3 linked regions of the Drosophila melanogaster genome follow. The protein of the gene in region 3 purifies or fractionates together with the protein of the main gene of each other region. This does not show direct contact. Each region holds a gene or a part of one and is shown on either strand. Other genes may lie near its edges. The genes, in order: Sec6, Exo84 and Sec5.

Region 1 (6,327 bases), on a different chromosome or scaffold from region 3:
TGCGAAAAATAAAAAAAATACATGTGATGCGAGTAACTTAGGCCTTCGATGCAATTTCAAGGGCCTGCTCCAGATCCTTGATCAAATCATCGGCATCCTCCAGTCCGACGGACAAGCGAACTAGACCGTCAGTGATGCCCAAAGTTTTCCTATCCTCCGCTGGAACCGAGGCATGGGTCATTATTGATGGAAGCTCGGCCAGACTCTCGTAGCCACCCAGACTCTCTGCCAGGGTGAACACCTTGAGGGCCTTGAGGAAAGCCGAGGAGTGCTTCAGCTCGCCCTTAATGTAGAAGGAGAACACGCCGCTGTATCCGTATGCCTGCTTCAGAGCGATCTTGTGCTGCGGATGGGAGGGCAAAGAGGGATGCAACACCTTCTCCACGAACGGATTCGTCTCCAGGTATTTGGCAACCTTCAGAGCATTCTTCTGGTGCTGTTCCATGCGCAGCGAGAGCGTCTTAAGACTTCTGTTCACCTGATAGCAGTCGAATGGAGACGGCACAATGCCCACTGCGTTCTGCAGGAACTTCAAGCTTTTGTAGAGCTTCTCCGAGTTCATGGTGATGCCACCCATGACCACATCCGTATGACCGTTCATGTACTTGGTCAGGGAGTAGCAGACCAGATCAGCGCCCAGCTCCAAGGGTCGCTGGAAGTAGGAGGTCAGGAAGGTGTTGTCGACGGCCAGGACGATATCCTCGCGTACTCCATGGACCAGCTGCGCAATAGCCTCGATGTCGGCTACCTTTACCAATGGATTAGTTGGTGACTCGATCCACACCAACTTGGTCTCCGGCTTGATGGAACTTTTAATTAGATCCAACTTCGTGGGATCCACAAAGGTGGCTGAGATTCCCAGACGGGTGGCAACCTGTCGGATCAAACGGTTGGTGCCTCCGTAAACATCGTCGCCCATGATGATGTGATCGCCGCTGCTCAGCATAGTTAGCACAGCGGTGGTGGCTCCCAATCCCGATGAGAACGTGAGGCCGTATTTGGCATTATCCAAGGCGGCGAAGCACGTCTCCAGCACGTTCCTAGTGGGATTTCCACTGCGGGAGTACTCATAGCCCCTGTGCTCGCCCGGTGCATCTTGCTTGAAGGTGGTGCTCAGCGATATCGGCGGAATCACGGCAGCACTCTTCCACTGGTCGGGGCTCTGGCCCGAGTGGATGGACTTGGTGGCGAAGCCGCTCGGCTGGACTCTGTAGCTCATCTTGTCTGGGTAGGAGGATCGTTGGGAACTGACTGACACGTGGAGAGAGACCGTCGCGAATATATATACTCCTGCCAGATGTTATCGCCTAGCCGGTAATTAAATATTTCGACCGTTACAACACTACATTCGCCGACAGTGATGGAGCTCTAGCTATTAAACGGCTAGAAAACGGAACCCTTCAAAAGTAACGATACATATATGCATTGAAACGATGGATATTCTTACTTTCCTTAGAACTTCTTCGATTATTTATACAATAATTTATTTGTTGATAAAGCACAATAATATTACAATCGCAGCTTAAGAGTAAATACGATACTGAACAGAAAGGGACATGCGGAATGGGTTGGGAACTATACTCCAAGGTCTACCACAGTTTGTCGCTGAACACGATCTCCTTGAAGATGCAATCCTGCTTGGCGATGCTGACCATTGCCTTCTTCGACTTCATGGCATCCTGCACCTTCTCGCGCACCTCGGCCGCCTTCACATCGTTGCGAATGTAAAAGAGCCGTACCAGGTGGTCCTCGTTCAGAGACGGATAGCTGCCCAGCAAGGTGTGCAGGTCCAAGACGAGCAGTTCGATATCCGAGCTAAGCAGTGCCGATAGCGTGGATATAAGATCCAATGGAGAGTCGCTGAGGGAAATCTTCGGCGCGATTTTCTCAAAGAAGAGCTTAAACCGCTTGGCTTCGGTCTTGATTTTTCGCGTAATGGCATCGCACTCGGCCCGTGGCTTAGACAGTCGCTTGGATAGCAGTGCCCTAATGTAGCGCTTGGCCAGCAGCTTCTGGGCCTCGTTGATGACCATCTCGAAGTTATTGGGTCGCAGGTGATTATAGTCCTGGAAGTAATCGTCCAGCGTTACACAAATGGTGTCCACGGCAATGTTACTGGCCAGCCACTTGGCAGTGAATAGGTCGTTAAAGTGACACTCCATGTCCAGGAAGGCTTCCTCCAGCAAGTAACTTGCGGCATGAGCCCGGATCCGCTGGAATGTGGCAAGCAAACGTTCGAAATCCTCATAATGCTCAGTACGTGACTTGGGCCAGTAGAGTTGTTTCATCTGCTGCGCCAGTTCAACCATTTGCTGACTGTTATTCACGATGGTGATGATGTAGTGAGTGAAGTATTTGATCTGGTCCCGATTGCGAAAATGGTGTTCCTTCAGCTCGATTACGTTCTTAAGATATGTCTGGCCAAAGATCTCCACCTGCTGAATGCTCATTACCAACGCCTTGAACGTCAGTTCCTGATGAATTGTGTTGGTCACCTGCAGATGCTGGTCGATCATCTGGAATATGATGACAGGCGCTGAAGTGTGGTAGTACTCCTCATCCTGATCGGGCACCGTCTCAGTAAACCACTCCTGCTTCTCCGTTTCTGCGGCCTTGGTCATCCATTCCTGGAAGTTTCTCTGCATATTTTGCAGATATTCATCTTCCAGCGCTTTGAGATGTTCCGGACGCAGCAGAGTACCTATCTGTCGGTGTACATCCACATTAAGATCCGGATGGGACATCAGCTCGACGCCAGGATAGGTGTGTGTAACCCAAGCCATCATTGATACATATTCATTGCCCTCCAAGCCCGAGCGCACAATGTTGTCAAGCTGGAATTAGTAAATATTAGTGGTATAAAAACATTAATCAATTTAAATGATTGACGATTACTCACATAGCTAGAAAGTCCTTCGTGATAGAACTTGACATATTCGCCGAAAATGTCGTAGTGCGGCGGGAAGCAGGGCACACAAAGGGACTTCACAACGCGCAGATCCTCGAGAATGATTTGACGCAATATCTCCAGGTCTCGTACTAACCACATCTTGTTATCGGCCCGCTCCTCTAGCTTGGATCCCTCTATGCGCGTTATCACCGACTGTTGTAGCACGTCCATGATCATGCGGCGCCAAGCCTTTGGTCTTCCAGGCGGCAGGAATCCTGTGACCTTTTGCTGCTGCAACGCGAACTGGTCGTTTTTCTCTTCCCGCTCTATGATGCGTAGGGCGGTAACGATGATGGTGGGCTTCTTGCGCAGAGTGTTCAGCGTGCGGCTAAGAATGAGTCGCAGCTTTTTCTCCAGCTCTTGGGATACCGTGTCAACCTTCTCGAAGTGACGCTTTAGGGTGATCTTGTCGGACGCATGCTGCTTGGGCTGCTTGTGCAGTTCGTAGAGAAGATCATCCCGCGAATTCTCCAGATCCGCCAGGCACTGATGGGCATTAAGCAGCTTATCATCCTCGATCAGCGCCATCGTCTTTTGTACGCTGGCATCTACGTTGAAGATGTGCTTCAGATTCTCCATGGCGGTGGCGTACTGGGAGTGCTTTGTGTTTTCCTCCCGCACAACTTCCAAAGCGTCGTAGACTTCGGGAACGCCCCTCAGCAGGCGCTCCACCTCGTCCATTCGACGCCTTACCTCGCGCACGTCCTGCATGCAGGTCTCCAACTGCTTAAGTCCCACCCTGACCCCGTCCAGCTGTCCTTGCATTCCGGTCTTAAGGAGCGCCTCAACGGATGCCTTCTTCCGGGCGATTCGGTGGCGATATTGTTCCACCTTCTCCAGTTGACCTGGTCGCTGCAACATGTTCTGTATGTCCTTGAGCGCTGCCTGGCGAGCCTGCTCCTCCAGCTGCTGTAAATCCATCTTCAATTTATTTGGATCACTTTCAGTCTCTGTTTTGGTCAATCTTCGTCAGCAGTGGAAGTGCTGGTGTGACCATATAGCAGTGCGGCTGACAATCTCACTTCCAAGAACTACAGTGTAACTTGACAATAAGCTATATTCTACTCTTAAAATTATTATAGTTTTATTGTGTCTTAAAATTTTTATTTTATTCTTCAAGCTTAAAAAATTATGAAGTTAAAGTATATCTTTTAGTTTGCCAAAGCAACAGAGGATTCGACCTAAGTATGGAAAACTGTACTTATCGATAAGTTATCTTCTCATTGGTCTATCGCCATCGAGAGCTTTGTTTGTTTATAATTTGCAGCCAAACGTTTGAACGTAAACAACGCCCTAAGCAAAACATGAGCACGGAAAAAGAGATAATTTTGCAATTTGCTCCGTGGGAATCTTTTGTGTCGCCCACTTTCTGGCACAAGCTAGCGGAGCTTAAGCTCGACCACGATCGCCTGTCCGACTCGAAACGCTCCATTACTGGACACTACACAAATCGTAATGCAAGTGGATGCCTTTTGGAAGTAGACTACACGGCCTACAACAGGTGAGCTTGAAAACTACGAGTTTGATGAAACCAGCGCTTGACCACCCACATTCCAGAATGGCAAAGCCTCCAAAATTCAGCCATTCCGCTATAGGCACCATCTACAATAAGAACACAATCGAAGAGTTCAAGGCCCTGGACAAATTACAACTGCTGGCCGATGAGGGCAAGGAACTGCTGGCTGATATGTGCAGTGGTGGCGCCTTGAGAGATCCCAGTCTATTGACCCGGTTCTTTGTTCTCTCCTTTGCCGATTTAAAGTGTCACAGCTACTACTATTGGTTCGCCTTTCCGTGCCCGCTGACGCCCACCTTAAAGCTTCAGGGAGCCGTCCAAAAACTGCGGGACTTGCCCAATAGTAGTAGCTATATAATGGCTCTAAAGGCCTTACCCACTGAGTCACAGAACTTCTTCATTCTGTATGCTAATGTGGAGAAGAACATTTTCGAAGCCCGTAGTTTAAGTTCCCTTGACGATAAAAATGTTGAGTTCTGTTATTTTGGTTTTGCTGATCCCAGCGAGTATGAGCATCCAGCTTGGATAATGCGAAACTATGCTGCCTTTCTGCTTCAGCAATGGTAGGTAGGAATAGCAATGTTATGATATCAGTTCACACAGTTGTCGGTCTATTACAGTCCCTCTTTTGTTGGAAAACCATTGAAGTTTCTTGGCCTGCGACACAATCAACAAATGAACATCGATGACAGCCTTGTATGGAAGGTGATTCAGACTGAAGCTTGCGATCTTAGCCAAAGCGAAAATATAAAGTTCGTGGGCTGGGAGCTAAATAAAAATGGCAAAATGGGGCCAAGAATGGTGTGCATGAGGGACAGCATGGATCCAGCCAAGTAAGTTAATAGCTATAGACTTAAATGATAAGAACTATCAGTTCATTGAGGTGTGTCCTTAGTGTTAGCTACCACGACAGTTGAAAGTAACTTGTTTATTATTTATAATTTAACAATATTTCTTTCCGTAGACTCGCTGAGAACTCTGTAAACCTGAACCTGAAACTAATGAAGTGGCGCCTTGTTCCCGATCTCAATCTCGAAATCATCTCCCAAACAAAATGCCTGCTCTTTGGAGCTGGTACTTTAGGATGCGCTGTAGCTAGAAATCTGCTGGTGTGCTTTTATACGAAATGATTTAACTGATCTGATAACTAATAGTTTATTTATTTTGTAGTCCTGGGGATTTAAGCACATAACCCTTTTGGACAGCGGCAAGGTTGGGTTCTCTAATCCAGTGCGTCAGAATCTCTACACGCATGCAGATGCTGTGGCAGGCAATCGGATGAAGGCGACTACAGCTGCTCAGAGATTGAAAGAGATCAATCCGTCTGCGGAAACGGCGGGTTATGTGCTGGAGATTCCCATGCCTGGGCATACTATTGGAGAATCGCTTCTAGCCCAGACGAAGGAGCATTTGAAGGTTATCGAAAAGCTTGTGCAGGACCATGATGTCATCTTTCTGCTCACAGATTCGCGCGAAAGCCGCTGGCTGCCCACCCTGCTTGGAGCGGCAAAGGAAAAAGTGGGAACAATCATATACTCACCTTTCAGAAGAGATGTACCTAAAATGTTTCCCTTATAGATTGTCATCAACGCAGCTTTAGGCTTTGACAGTTATCTGGTAATGCGACATGGCACTACGCGTAAGGAAGCAGGCGACGATGGCCAAGAAATCGAAGGACTTAAGTGCATTAATGGCGATCAATTAGGTTGCTACTTTTGTAACGATGTTACGGCCCCTGGAAATGTAAGTCCCATTTGTTGTATAGTTTAAGATAACATTTGTATTTTCAGACTTCATTAGTTGGGTTAACATGGTTACTAAACGCATTCGTAATCATGGCGGGAATATTTTTCGAAGCCAG
Region 2 (6,320 bases), on a different chromosome or scaffold from region 3:
CAGTCCGGATGCGGAAGAGGTGTTCGGGGAGGTGGAAAAGATATTTGTGGCCAGCGGCTTCTAGATTTCCTGTTCATATTCCGGTTATGTGTGTAGTGCTATCCTTACCTTTCATTTGTACCCTCTAAAAAAATACATATATACGCTTGTTAATAGTAATGCATAAGGTACTTTTTCTTCACCCCGATAAGATACAAGATACACATGAAGTTTAGTATACCCAATCAAGGAAAGCGGAGGTACACACACACTTTTTAATATCGAGTAAAAAATGGAGCTAGGCAAAAGTTATTCTGGAATTATATGTTATCTAAAGCAAATGGATTGAGAACTATTTTAAATGTAGGAACGTTAAAGAGCAATAAACAATAAATTAAATCCCCTGTTCATATTATGACATTTAAAACAAGTTTTCTTATTTATACAAGTGCTATGTGATTTTCATTTTTCAAGTGTTTTACATATTTCTATAGTACCCAATAGTACAAATTTAGGAAAGTACTTCTTTTTATTCAGATAAACACAATTTTGCATTTATAGTTAAAGCTGAATATATGTATATACATATATATATAATTTCATGATTTGGAAATTCCTTTTTCTTATTTTATTGAAGACAGGCATGAAACGTACATATCTTTTAAAATACCGAATATTGTATAGCTCTAAAGTAACAAGTATTGCGAATTTGTTTGTAGCTAGGCTGTGCGATTGCAGCACTACCCAGTTCTTTCCATTATAGCTTGTAAATGCTAATTACTCATCGATTTTTCAAACACGCAGGGAACGAAAATCACAAGCATTCTCTTTAATATAACATTCGCTTCTGGGAGATACAAACGGGTGGTGGCTCTTACATAAAGTGGACAGGCAGTGGTTCTTAGTAGCGGCTCAATCCTTGCGCAGCTTATCCAGGCGCGCCTGAAGATCCGCATCGGCATCGGACATGGGCGATGAGGCACCACTGCCACCGGGAGCTCCCGGACCACCAGCGCCGCCACCACTAGCTCCACCTCCGCCGGCGGCTCCACCGCCGCCAACGCCACCAGCGGCCACAGCCTGTGCTTTCTGAGCGCCAGCGCCGCCGGCTATGGAAAGGGAACCGGAGGCGGAAGGAAGGTCTCCCAGCTGTTCGCCCAATTGCAGACCCAGTTCGTCCAGCACCTGGGACACAACAGCATCCGTCTCCTCCTCGTCGCCCTCGTCCTCCATGGCGTCATCGATGGCATCGTTGATCATCTCCTCCTTCATGTCCATCATTTCCGACTGTTTCTCGAAGTCCTGCAGGATCTTCTGGATTTGCGGGAGATTCAGCTGGCGGTTCATGTTCTGCATGGCCTTCGTGACACCTGGAAGATAAGCATAATTGCTTGATAAGCGGGTGAATCAGCCAAATAGCCAATGTTTACCTTTCATGGCCTGTGCCATTGTGTTCTGCGACTTGAGCGTCTGAATTTTGAGGGACACCGCCTGGATGTTTGCCTTCATCAGCATGAACTTCTTGGCATACCGCCGCGTGCGCACCAGATCCTTGGCCATGATCTTCACGGCATCCATTTGACCCTCCTTGGCCATCTTCTTGATATCCGCGATAATCTTCTTCTCCTGCTGCTCCATTTTCATCCGCTCGCGGTCCAGATCTCGCATCGCTTTGTTGAGCGCCCGCTGATTCTTACGCAGCATCTCATCGGGGCTGATCTTCTTGCCGAATAGCCAGTCCATGTTTAAGGATATCTTAACTGCAAGATTTAATTACGAAGAATGACGGAGTTTCCTAAAGATTACTCATCAACCAAAACAATAAGCGAAGGGTGTGCGCGATTCTAAGGTGGCCAAGACGTGTTGGCGCTTACATGCGAATAGTGCTAGTGGGAAGAAGAAGCTTTGCCGGTGCACTCTGAAAGAACTGTTCACACTTCAACTTAGTGAATTAGCAACAGGTGGAAAATAATTTTAATTTATTACAATACAACACACACACATTGTAATGAATAGTATACATATAGACATATGTCTTCTTGATTTTTAACGTAGATCTTTGACGTAGTCGTTTATATTTAAAAGTTCAGTTCGAATAAAAAGTATTCAGGGCTTCAACGCCTAATCATACCTAAGATGAAAATCCGAAATGTAAATGCGAATAAATTTGTTGATCTCTAAAAGGTCTTTGACGTAGCCGTTCAGTTCGAATAAAACTTTTCATAGGTTTTAAATCTTAATTAATCTCCTATTACTTAAAACTAAATAAAAATGTTCTAGATTTATAGATTTATCTAATACCAGGGAAAACTGCAGTGAAAACATGGCATTTTCTATAGCATCAGCAACCTTACAATCGACACCTCATGATGACGCTCGTTCGTTGTGAATGGCTCTGCGTCAGCTGCAGTTTACATTCCAATCAGAATCATGAAGGAGTTCGACGATTTTAATTTTAGCGTTGAGAAATGTAAGTATTCCTATGTCTATTTAGCATTAATCAGTCTACTAATAAGTACAACGTTCCCAGATACCAAGGACCTGACACGAGAATGTGTGGGTGGCAGCGATTTGCAGCAGCGAAAAAAGGAAATCGAGGCCTACAACGAAACGACGGCAGCAACGCTCAAGCAAACATGCAAAAAGAACTATATGGAGTTTATACAGACGGCCAAGGAGATATCACGTAGTTTACGCCCCCCAATATCAATATACATTTATGTTAATATTTTCGCATCGCAGATCTCGAGTCGGAAATGTATCAACTGTCGCACATTCTGATTGAGCAGCGCAATATTCTGGCCACCATGACGGATGGCAAGACTTCCAGTCACCTGAAGGCAGAGAGTTTGGAGGCGGAGAGCACTACGGCGACGGAGGATCTGGAGAATAGCCATGCCACGCGGGCGGTCAAGGAAATGGTCCAGGGCTTCAATGGCAATCTGGAAGGCAAGACCTTCCTCAACGAGGGAGCTCTAATCGAGTTGGACAGTAATGATTATCGACCCATTCAAAGGGTCTTCTTTTTCCTCTTCAACGATGTACTGATTGTCTGCAAAGTGAAGCATGATAAGTAGGTTTTCCTATACTAAAGCATATAGCAAAAACTAATAGTAATATTTTTCAGGCGCTTGGATTTCCTCACCGAGTACGACCCCAAGAAAATAGCCGTGATTAACATTAAGGACTTGGATGGCGTTAAGAATGCCATTAATATCATTACTCCAGATGGTTCCAAGATCTATCAAAGCATCACGGCTGCTGGGAAGACGGAGTGGATAGAGAAGCTCGAAGAGGCCTTCCGCTTTGACCAGCAAAAGAAACCAAAAAAGGGCCAGGCGCCACAGCCTCCAACTCGGGCCAAACAGCAGTCAAAAGCTTCGACTCCGGAGAAGGAAACCACACCCCAGAGTCCCGGACAGCCCAAATCCCTGGAGGATGAGACGCCCGAGTGGCTAAGCACGGCCAGTGAAGAGATTCAGACCCTGGTGGCCCAACGGCATTTCGAGGATGCCCAGGAGCTGATAAAGCGAACCCAGGACTTCTTGCGAAACGAGAACCGAAAGAAGTTGCCACTAGCGGACGCCATTGAAACCAAGGTGAAGCAGCAGGAGCTGAAGCTGATCAATGTGCTGCTCAAGGAGTTGTCCAACAGTCACAATCGCAATCTGCAGATCGCTCTGAGAGCAGCCAAGCGGCCTCTGAAGATTCTCGTAGAGATGGGTCGCTATCGGCAGGCGAGTGCCACTCTGCTGAAGGTCTGCGCCGTCAGTTTGCGGGTGGCGCAACGGGAGGCGCGCAGGAATAATGCGGATATATCGGAACTCTTCTTTTGTGACCTGACGCAGGTGGCCTGTGATTTTCTCACCGCCTTTGAGAAGCAACCGGCGTGCGTTAGCGGTAAGCTTCATTCCTATTTCTGTCTACATTTAAGTATTACTACTATCTAATTCTTGCAGCGCTCGTGGTTTGGTGCAATGCGGAGCTGCAATATTTTGCCAGCCAACTGATAAAGCATTACCTGACCAAGGGAACCTCCCTGGAGTCAGTGGCCAAATGTGTGGAGCGAGTGCGCAAGCCCTCGACAAAGCTCACAGAGATCGGGCTGGACATTAGTTATCATTTGGAAGGTCTGTTGCGCACTACACTCGAGTCGCTCATAGAGGAATCCAAGGAGCGACTGCTGGACTCCGTGGGTCGCACCGAGGAGAGCTGGCAGCCGTACAATTTGCAGACCAAGTCGAACCTGAAGCGTCTGCTCCTGGAGCTCGATGTCTTGGGTATCGATGTGCGAGCCCAGGCGACGGGCGACACATGGATTAATCTCACCCAGTCGACAGTGGTTTTCATCAGACACTTCCTGCAGCTCACCGAGTACTGCGGCTGTCTGGCCAAGTGCGAAACCCTGCTGCAGAGCCTGGAACTGCTTCTTAAGGAGCTGTTCATTGCCCAGCATTCGTTGAAACCGCCCAGCGACATGGCCGTGGATGTAAGTTAGAAAGCAGCTTAAATAAAACCGCTCTCTTCAAGAATGCCATTTTCAGCCCAACTTTGTAATGAAGAACAAGATTTTTCTGGTGGACAACCTGCTGCCCATCGCCATCGACAAGTTTCGACAGATTTCTGGACGCCAGTGCGAGGGATTGCGCGAGTTGCACACGAAAATGTCCCGCCAGCAAGGTGCTCCAGTGCCGCGCCAGCGCAGCGTCTACACCACAGATGTGTTTTAGATGCACGCCGTGGGATTTACTTTCGATTACATATAATTTTTTATTTTTTCGTTTTGCTTCAATTATTTATAATATAATTATATACATATATAACCACAATAATAATAATATTTGTAAAATTAAAAATCGAAGCGTGTGCTGCACTCTATCTCTTGCTTATTACAATTTCGCCGCTCGCATTATATATATAATTGTAAATATATATAAATCGATTCGTTTTCTGTTTTTCATATATATACTCTAAACACTAAACAATTTAGCTGTGTTCTACTTTTCGGTTTCGGTTGTTGATGCGGCTCTCTCTGTGTTGGGTTTAGCTGCTCAAAATATAGGATTTTACACTTGGTTCTGAAGAGTTGAGTTTGATTCACACAATTAATTCCTCGATTTTCTCATTACACATTTTCTCAAATTACATACAAGCAAAGCGGACTGCTCTGAGCTTCTAACTACTGACCCCCAATGCGAGTGAGTGTTTCGAAAGTGGTTTCCGTGTTTAATTTATAATGTAAAACTCTTAACTAAAATGCTTACTAAGTATATTCATTTATAATTATATATATATATATATATATATACCTTTTATGCAAATGTGTTTTGTGTTTTTCGTATGTTGTGTTTGTGTGTGTGTGGTGTGTGTTTGGAGGGACGTTGGGAGGTAAGGAAACTGACAACTTAAAATTACATTTGTTGTTGCATTCGCTGTCTGACTTTTCAGCTAAATTACAAAAACCGCTCACATAAAACAAACTAAAAGCACTCGCATCGTATTTGTATTTAACTCCTTTTGTTCAGCTGGTAATCATAATCTCAACGCTCCTGCAATTGCAATGACTGACTAATTCCACTTATCCTCCTATTTGTTTTTATGTTAAGATGAACGTAGGTAGGTATCGCCGACTTTTTATGTTTCTGTTTCCGGTTTCATTTTGTTAATTTTACAACATACTCGTTTCTGTTGCTCGCATGCATTATCATTTTATTTCGCTCTGGTTCTCATTTTACTTGAATTCTTCTTTACTTGCAATTTGTGTGTTCAACTTGTTGGTTTGTTTTTATTTATTGGACTTAGCTTAGGCTTAGTAGCTACAAGTACGCTTAAAATTTTAGTTTTCCTTTTTCTTGTATATATATTATAGAATTTTCATTTTTGCTTCGCTTTTTGATGCGTTGCTACTGCCGCCTTTCTGCTTTTCTTTTTTTGTTTTACTGCCGATGCTGCTGCTGTTGTTTTTGTTGTTGTTATTTGCATGATTTCGAACATGTTGTAATAAAAACTATACGAGCTTATTACAAAATGAAAAAACTGCATGGTTTTGTGGATTTAATAAATAACTTCGTAGACAGTAGCCTTCTTATCGCCCGAACCCGTCACAATGTATTTGTCGTCAGTTGATATGTCGCAGCTAAGTACGGATGATGTTTCCTTCGACTGAAAAACGTCCAGTATTTTAATTGAGGATTTCCTTTAATATGATAAGGATGTGTGCTTACCTGGAATATGCTGGCACCGTAAGGTGTTCGCCATGCGTTAAGCAGGTTGTCTTTGCCGGTGGAAACGAACCATTTGCCGCAGGCGGCAAAGCGCAGCGACAGAACGCAGCTCTCGTG
Region 3 (6,727 bases):
GCTAAGACATTTTTTTGAATAGGCTAAGACTTTTTTTGAGCATGAATTTTTTTGAGCACGTGAACCTAGGATTAAGAACAACAATTCAAGTAAGCCATATATACCCATATTATATATGCGAACATATAACTATTAAAATATTCAAATAAAAATGAGCATTGCTACTACAGAAAAATGCGCGATTTTCTTTGGGTTTCAAAACCGTTTTCGAACCGTAACACTCTTTGCCTCATGCAAGCTGCTAGTTCATGATTTCTAGAACATCGTTCCTGGGAGTGGAGTGAGTTCCATGAGTGCCTACAATGTGCTGGCCGCTTCCGCTCACTTAAGTCACTCAATCTCAATTCCGAGTTTAATCAGCAGCTCCGCGAGCAGAGTCGCCCTTAGATAAGCGGATCGCCGCCTGCGGCTCATCATTATCTTTTGATTAACGCGCCAGTCGACAGTGCGTGTTTGTTCCGAGTAGAGAACGGAGGCTGGCGCGTTTTCTTCCATTTTCCAACTGATAAGCAGAAGCTCCAGCTAATCCCCGAAAGATGAAGCCGTTGATAGTGGTCGTGCTCGTGGGCCTGATGGCAAGTGGCTGCCACATTGTTCACTCCCAGGAGCCTGGCGATGGTAAGACGAATTCCAGTCTGAGCTCTACCGGAACTAAGCCACTCATTAATGACCTTTGAGCAGCTGTGGAGCAGGAAGCCAGCGAGTCGGATGACGCACTTAAGATCAAAGAGAGTCAGGCCAGCATAGCCGCCCAGGTGGAGGCCATGCTCGTGCACTTTCAGCAGGAGGATCCGCAGGGTCTGCCCGGCGTGCCCGTGCCCGATCCGTTGGAGGTGCCCAATGTGAAGAAGAGCATGGGCATGGCCAATCTGGACATGAAGCAGGTCAAGGCGTATGGCTTGTCCAAGTTCCGCATTGATAAAATGAACCTAGACCTGAAGGAAATGAGAGTAAGTTTTCAAGTTGAATTCGAATTGGCTTGAAGTTTCCACTCCTCTGTCCTGCAGTTCAACGGTGGCCTCCAGCTGGACCAGATGCTGGTCAAGGGCCAGTACACCCTCAGTTCATTCTTTTCGAAAGCCAATGGACCCTTTACAGTAGTCCTGAAGAATGTCTATGCCGAGGCAACCGCCTTCTTGGCCGTCGAACGAGACGGTCAGCTGGCCACGGACCGCATCAAGATCGACATCACATTCTCGGACATGACAATGGACTTCCAGAACCTCGGCCTGGTGGGCAGTGTCTTTCAGAGCGTGGTGAACGGTGCGCCCAACTTGGTCTTCGACGCCATGAAGCCATTTATGCTCCAGGAGGCGGACAAAAAGCTGCGCAGCGAGATCAACGTAATGATCCAGAAAACCTTGGGCGAACGCCGACTGCCCAATTCCATAACGCCGCTGGACAGCGCCATTGCCATGGCACGCAAGATGGTTCGGCAGAAGGGCTTCGATCCGTACCACCTGCCTGATGTCAATCGCACCATGGGCGTGTTCAGTGTCCAGTTAGCACACACCTGGATCAATGGAATCTCTAGCTTCTACCGCGTGGGCAACATAACCGCTGGCATGGCCAACAAAACGGTGTCGGTCGTTCTGCAAATAGGCACCCAGCAGGTGACGGGAGCCGGCCAGTGGGAGGTGGGTGTGGGCATGATGACACGCGTCGGTCACGTACAATTTACGGTTCAGCACATACGCGCCACCGTTGGCCTGAGCCAATCCCTGGACACACGCAAGCGGGCGCAGATCACCGATCTGCAGTTTGACATGGGCAACATACAGGTGCGATGTGACGGAGCGGGAACGCTGGACTACGTCATGGAGTTTGCGGTGAACGTCATTCCCAACCTGCTGCGCTACCAGATCATGGACGCCATCGAGAACCCCATCAAGCAGCGTGTGCAGGAGAAGTTCAACACCATCGATGTGGAGCAGGTCATCAAGACCATGGCTCAGAACAACTTCAACTTTGACCCAAAGCTGTTGGGCTTGTGAGTCGTGGTAGTAAGTAAGAGAGTTATGCAATCGAATAAAGATTTATCCCTAGAACATGGGTAATCACAAGCTACTTAAAGTATACGCTATCTACATGGGCTGCGCCCTGCAGTGGAATGTGCCTAGGGGTCCTTGACACTGAAGCAGAGCAGCTGCAGACGCATGTTCCGCTTGACCCGCTCCAGAATCTCGTCCGCCTTACGCTTCTGCTCGCCACTCAGGGGCGGATTGATGGCCTCCAGCGCTTCCATGAAGTAGTTCCTTTTGCAGATTAGAAGAATTATTGAAATTCATAGGTATTTCATTTAGATCACTCACTTGGCAGTCTCATTGACGTAACCTTCCAGGGAGTCCCTCAATAGACGGATATCCACGTGGGCCTGAATCGCTCCCGTGAAGCTAAAGCGCTGGACACAGCTCATCAGACGGGCCAGCTCTTCGGATATGGTTTGCACAATGGACTCCAGGATGGGTCGCAGCAGTGCCGGTGAAATGCTGTAGATCTCGGAGTAGACACCAACCAAATTATCGCAGCACTCGTGAGCGTAAGGACGCAGCTGGCCGATCTCCATCTCGTGATCCCACTGGAAACGACCCAGATACATGGAGGGCTCGATGGTGCCGACCAGCGGATCGCCCTTATGCTCGACGTACTCCTCCAGAAGATTGGTAAAGAGCTGGTTAACCGTGTAGCGAGCAGTTTCGATTGCCAGCGTGGGCAGCGGGTAACCGTAGCGAACGAAGATGTCACCAAGGCGCGGGAAGAAGATCTTGTTGCAGTACGCATAGTTGGCCAGGCAACAGAGCATGCGCTGCTCCCAGGTCACAGCCGCTGCTCCGCCGCTTCCAGCCACCGAATCTGGCTGCTGGGCATTGGGGAATCCAAGTAGCTGCGACACATTGTGGGTGGGCGTCTCCTCGTCGTGGGAGTGGAAGGCCAGCTCCTCGATCACCGCGCTAAACGCGGATAGGAATTCTTGTAGTCGCTGTGTCACCTCTCTCTGTCCATCCGACTGCGGCTCGAGGAGATTGCCCTCCCGGGTCTCCCTTTGCATGCACACAGATTGCACCTCGTCCAGCGTTTCGATGAGCAATGTTTCCAAGGCGGCGGGTAACAATGTGGCACCTGGATATTCCTCCACGCCCAGTTCCCAGGTCTCCTGGCTGCCCAGCTTTTTGCACCGATCCGTGGCCCGTTTGAAGATAATTGAGAAGCAGAAAAGTCGCACCTCATCGATCAGTTTCTGTATGATGTCCAGCGCTTCCGAGGGCAGATCCAGGCTGATGAGCGTGGCATAGGCTATCCTCGTGAAACGCAGGCACTGCGGAATCCAGGGTAGAAACTGATGTGTTGCCGATGCGGAGCCGATGGGCCAAGCCAAGCCGCTGGACTGACGCAGGGCGCGCTGATCCGTGGCAATGAGAATGGCCAACCTCAAGTAGACACAGAACTTCTCGATGGCGTTCAAAACCATTCGCTTGAAATCCCCTGGCTTGGGATCATGAGGTCCGCGTAGCTCGCCGGTGAAGTATAGCTGGCCCAGACGCCACAAGTCCGGCAGCTGGGAGGCGGCAATGTCGCACAGTTCTTCGCAGAAGTTAACCCGATTGGGCGCCTGGCTGGAATCCCTGTTCTTTGCCTTTTCCTGGGCACCCGAATCCTTGCTGGTGTGCTGATCAAATGTCTGGCGAAATGTCCACTCCAGATATTTGGCTCTGGCCTCGATGGCATCCCAGGCGGGATCGATGTTGCGCAGTTTATCGCCAATGGGAGTTCCGCTCTGCTGCAGTTCCAGACTGATCAGCGCCTTGATGAGCTTCTTCTGTTGCTCCACGCTCTGTGGCATCTTGACCACCTTCTCGTGCAGTTGTTTCCTTATTGACAGAATCCTGTGGTCGACCTCCTCGAGCACCTTGCGGAAAATGGGAATCTCCGTCTTGCCAAAGAGGTTCTTGGCGCGCGAGTAGTCGTTAACCACAATGTCATATTCACCCGCCTTGGCACGTCTGTCCACCGAATTGGGCAGACAGAAGAGGAACTTGTGCCGCGACAGGGCGAACAGAACGGACCGCGTGGAATCCGCCTTCTCTTTGCGCACCAGCACATCCGTGAATATCTTTTGCGATTCGCTAATGGAGTCTATAAGTCGAACAATTTTAGAATTAAATATCTTAATCTATAAACCCCACTCACTCTCTATGGATGTTTCCAAGATATTTAGGGTCTCATTGCCGTGTAGCTTGACATCCTCCTGCAGCTTGTCTCGGATGTTCATCAGCGTATCGAGCTGGTCAATCACCGAGCCTGCATTGGACTTGAGGAAGGACAACTGACCTTCCTTCTGGCTCTCCACTTTCCGCTTCAAGTAGGACAGGCCCGCCTTGAGATCCTCGAAGGAGGTGGCCAGGTGATTTTCAAGCAGGAACCAGGCCGGGGAGAAGTGCTCCTGCGACAGATCCCCGCAGGCTTCGGGAAAGAGATCGCGGAGGTCCTCGGGGATCTTCTGCTCGTTACCCTCGATGGACAGCCCAAGTGGATCCTCCTGCGTCAGTCCGGATTGGGCTAGGGTGCGCCGACCCCAGGCAAAATTCTGCGAGGGCGACTCCTCGATCCACACGGCGGACTCCTTGAGCGGGCCAATGGTCTCGTGGTATGCACGAAACTGAACCGTGGACGTGCCCACTCCGCCGCTTAAAGTGGTCACTATGATATCGCCTTTTCCCTTCGCCGGACCAGTGCGTGCGATGATTTTATTGGGTGATTTCCACTCCGCCGACAGCAGACAATCTGAACCGCAGATTTTTAGACCTTACATTTTTTTTTTTTGGAAGGGAAAGTCATCAGAAAACAGAAGCTATTTGGGACAGGCTACGCCTACCAATTAGATCTTGCACTCGGGTGCCCAGGAACTCGCCGCGAATGATAACGCGGGTGCCAGGAGGACCCTCCTTCGGAGATAGCCCCGTAACCACTGGCTGCGGCGCCATCGTATGCTATATGATGCGGAAAAACTGATCAAAATGCAATAAAAACAATAGAGAACAGAACTTTATTGATGCTGCCAGTGATGGAAAACGTCCCGTCAGTGGTGAAATCTTGGCTAAGTAATCGCCAAGCTAAACAGACAGATATTTAATATAAAACTTATGTAAGAAACGGACGAGCATAAAAAGAGCTTAAAATGTATTAAATCTAAAATTAAAGATTACTTAACATATGATACCATTCAAATAAAGGCAACTTATATCAATCAAGAGTTTTAGTTCTAGCTAAGTCTCCTTGCTGAGCAGCACTGGAAGGCGCAGACCGGTCATCTCTGAACAGCTGATTGATTGTTTCCAAATCCGCCGCAGAAAAATGGATGACGTCGAACGAATTCAGAGCGAGAATGAGAATTTGCGCAAGATTCGCAATCGCCTGATGCAATGGGAGTCCAAAACGGACCCGCTGGCGGCTCTGAGTATCCAGCAAGAGGAGCACCTGGACGTCCTGACCAATCTGTGGCGCGACAGCGGACCATCGGTGAGTCGACTCCTCCTCGAATGGCAATCGTATAATTGCAACCCGACTCTTTGTAGGCACCGGCACCGACTACGCCCACCCAGGTGGGTCCTACCGATTCATCGGCAGCTGCAACTTCGCAAAGCGGCGATGACATCAGACTACCTGCGGAGGGACTCCAGAACACCAATGAGTTTCTGCTTTGGTTCGCGGACGTCAGCGCCGAGATCGAGCAACGTGGCGATGCCGACTACCACAAATACCTGCAGCAGCTGGAGCAGCGCAAAGCGGAGTGCTCCCACATGCTGGACCAGATCGCTGGGGCCATGGAGCGCCTGGGTGCCCTCTGCGACGAGTACGACTTTGTGTCGCAAAAGACCAGCGCTCTGAACACGGCCAGCGAGCAGTTGATCGAGGAGCAGGAGCGACTGCAGGAGCTGAGTCACGAGATTCAACGCCGTCTGCACTACTTCAGCCAGGTGGAGTTGCTCAACCAACGACTTCAGAGCCCCACGCTTTCGGTGGCTAGCGAAGCGTTCCGGGAGTGCCTCAACAAGATCGACGAATGCCTAAACTACATCGAGGAGAATGTGAGCTTGTCTGTTACACTTCGGTCATGTATATACTAATATCCTTCATTGTCACAGCCCAAATTCAAGGATGCGGCCGCCTACAATGTGAAGTACAGGCAGTGCCTGGCCAAAGCCTCGGGTCTGGTGCGTAACTATGTGACGAGTGTGATAAACCAGGCAACCGAGGCCACGCTCCATCCCAAGAACAATATGCCGGATGCCTCCGCTGCTCTCAAGGCACCAGATGCCGCATTCGCTCTGTACTACGGCAAATATCAAACGGCCGCGGCAAAAGTGAAGCGGGTCGCCCAGTTGATTGAGTCCCGGTCGGAACACAGCCTCGACTACGCCCAACTAATGGCGGATCTTCAACAGCACTACTTGGCGCAAAGAGCCAGCGTTATGTCGCCAGCAGTGAATCTGTCCATACAAAACGTTAAGGTGGCCCACAAAGGGGATCACTGCTCTCTCACCCGAAGCGCCTGCGCCTTTTTGGTGCATGTTTGCCAGGACGAACAGCGTTTGTTCTACCAGTTCTTCAGCACAGGAGCGCCACACCTGACGTAATACTCGTACATCTAGTTGGAAAATAGGATTGATCTCATTTTTCCCACAGGGTTTATCTGGAGGGTCTGTGCACCATTCTCTATGACACCATG

The links.
Region 1: the proteins of Sec5 (region 3) and Sec6 purify together in Drosophila melanogaster (affinity purification with western blotting; 2 studies listed by BioGRID, with this or other methods). This does not show direct contact.
Region 2: the proteins of Sec5 (region 3) and Exo84 purify together in Drosophila melanogaster (affinity purification with western blotting; one study listed by BioGRID). This does not show direct contact.

Annotation. Positions count from the first base shown.
Region 1 is NT_033778.4:18,622,887-18,629,213, reverse strand, and holds Sec6 (secretory 6), read right to left. Parts: upstream 3,966-6,327; 5' UTR 3,872-3,965; coding exon 2,900-3,871; intron 2,835-2,899; coding exon 1,590-2,834; 3' UTR 1,496-1,589; downstream 1-1,495. Other genes in the region: Cth (cystathionine gamma-lyase), read right to left, coding at 38-1,219; CG5335 (uncharacterized protein), read right to left, coding at 6,284-6,327; Atg7 (Autophagy-related 7), read left to right, coding at 4,255-4,451, 4,508-5,029, 5,087-5,299, 5,431-5,575, 5,637-5,984, 6,045-6,209. UniProt on the Drosophila melanogaster protein: Component of the exocyst complex involved in the docking of exocytic vesicles with fusion sites on the plasma membrane.
Region 2 is NT_033777.3:26,048,319-26,054,638, reverse strand, and holds Exo84 (exocyst 84), read left to right. Parts: upstream 1-2,381; 5' UTR 2,382-2,409; coding exon 2,410-2,449; intron 2,450-2,509; coding exon 2,510-2,668; intron 2,669-2,721; coding exon 2,722-3,052; intron 3,053-3,106; coding exon 3,107-3,879; intron 3,880-3,938; coding exon 3,939-4,468; intron 4,469-4,523; coding exon 4,524-4,709; 3' UTR 4,710-4,908; downstream 4,909-6,320. Other genes in the region: Cmpk (Cytidine/uridine monophosphate kinase 1), read left to right, coding at 1-64; Vps2 (vacuolar protein sorting 2), read right to left, coding at 892-1,349, 1,410-1,722; gro (groucho), read right to left, coding at 6,034-6,141, 6,204-6,320.
Region 3 is NT_033779.5:3,455,661-3,462,387, reverse strand, and holds Sec5 (secretory 5), read right to left. Parts: upstream 5,087-6,727; 5' UTR 4,983-5,086; coding exon 4,874-4,982; intron 4,804-4,873; coding exon 4,189-4,803; intron 4,135-4,188; coding exon 2,313-4,134; intron 2,256-2,312; coding exon 2,117-2,255; 3' UTR 2,021-2,116; downstream 1-2,020. Other genes in the region: CG3246 (uncharacterized protein), read left to right, coding at 537-618, 682-950, 1,008-1,994; Cog3 (component of oligomeric golgi complex 3), read left to right, coding at 5,353-5,517, 5,574-6,086, 6,144-6,631, 6,685-6,727. UniProt on the Drosophila melanogaster protein: Component of the exocyst complex involved in the docking of exocytic vesicles with fusion sites on the plasma membrane.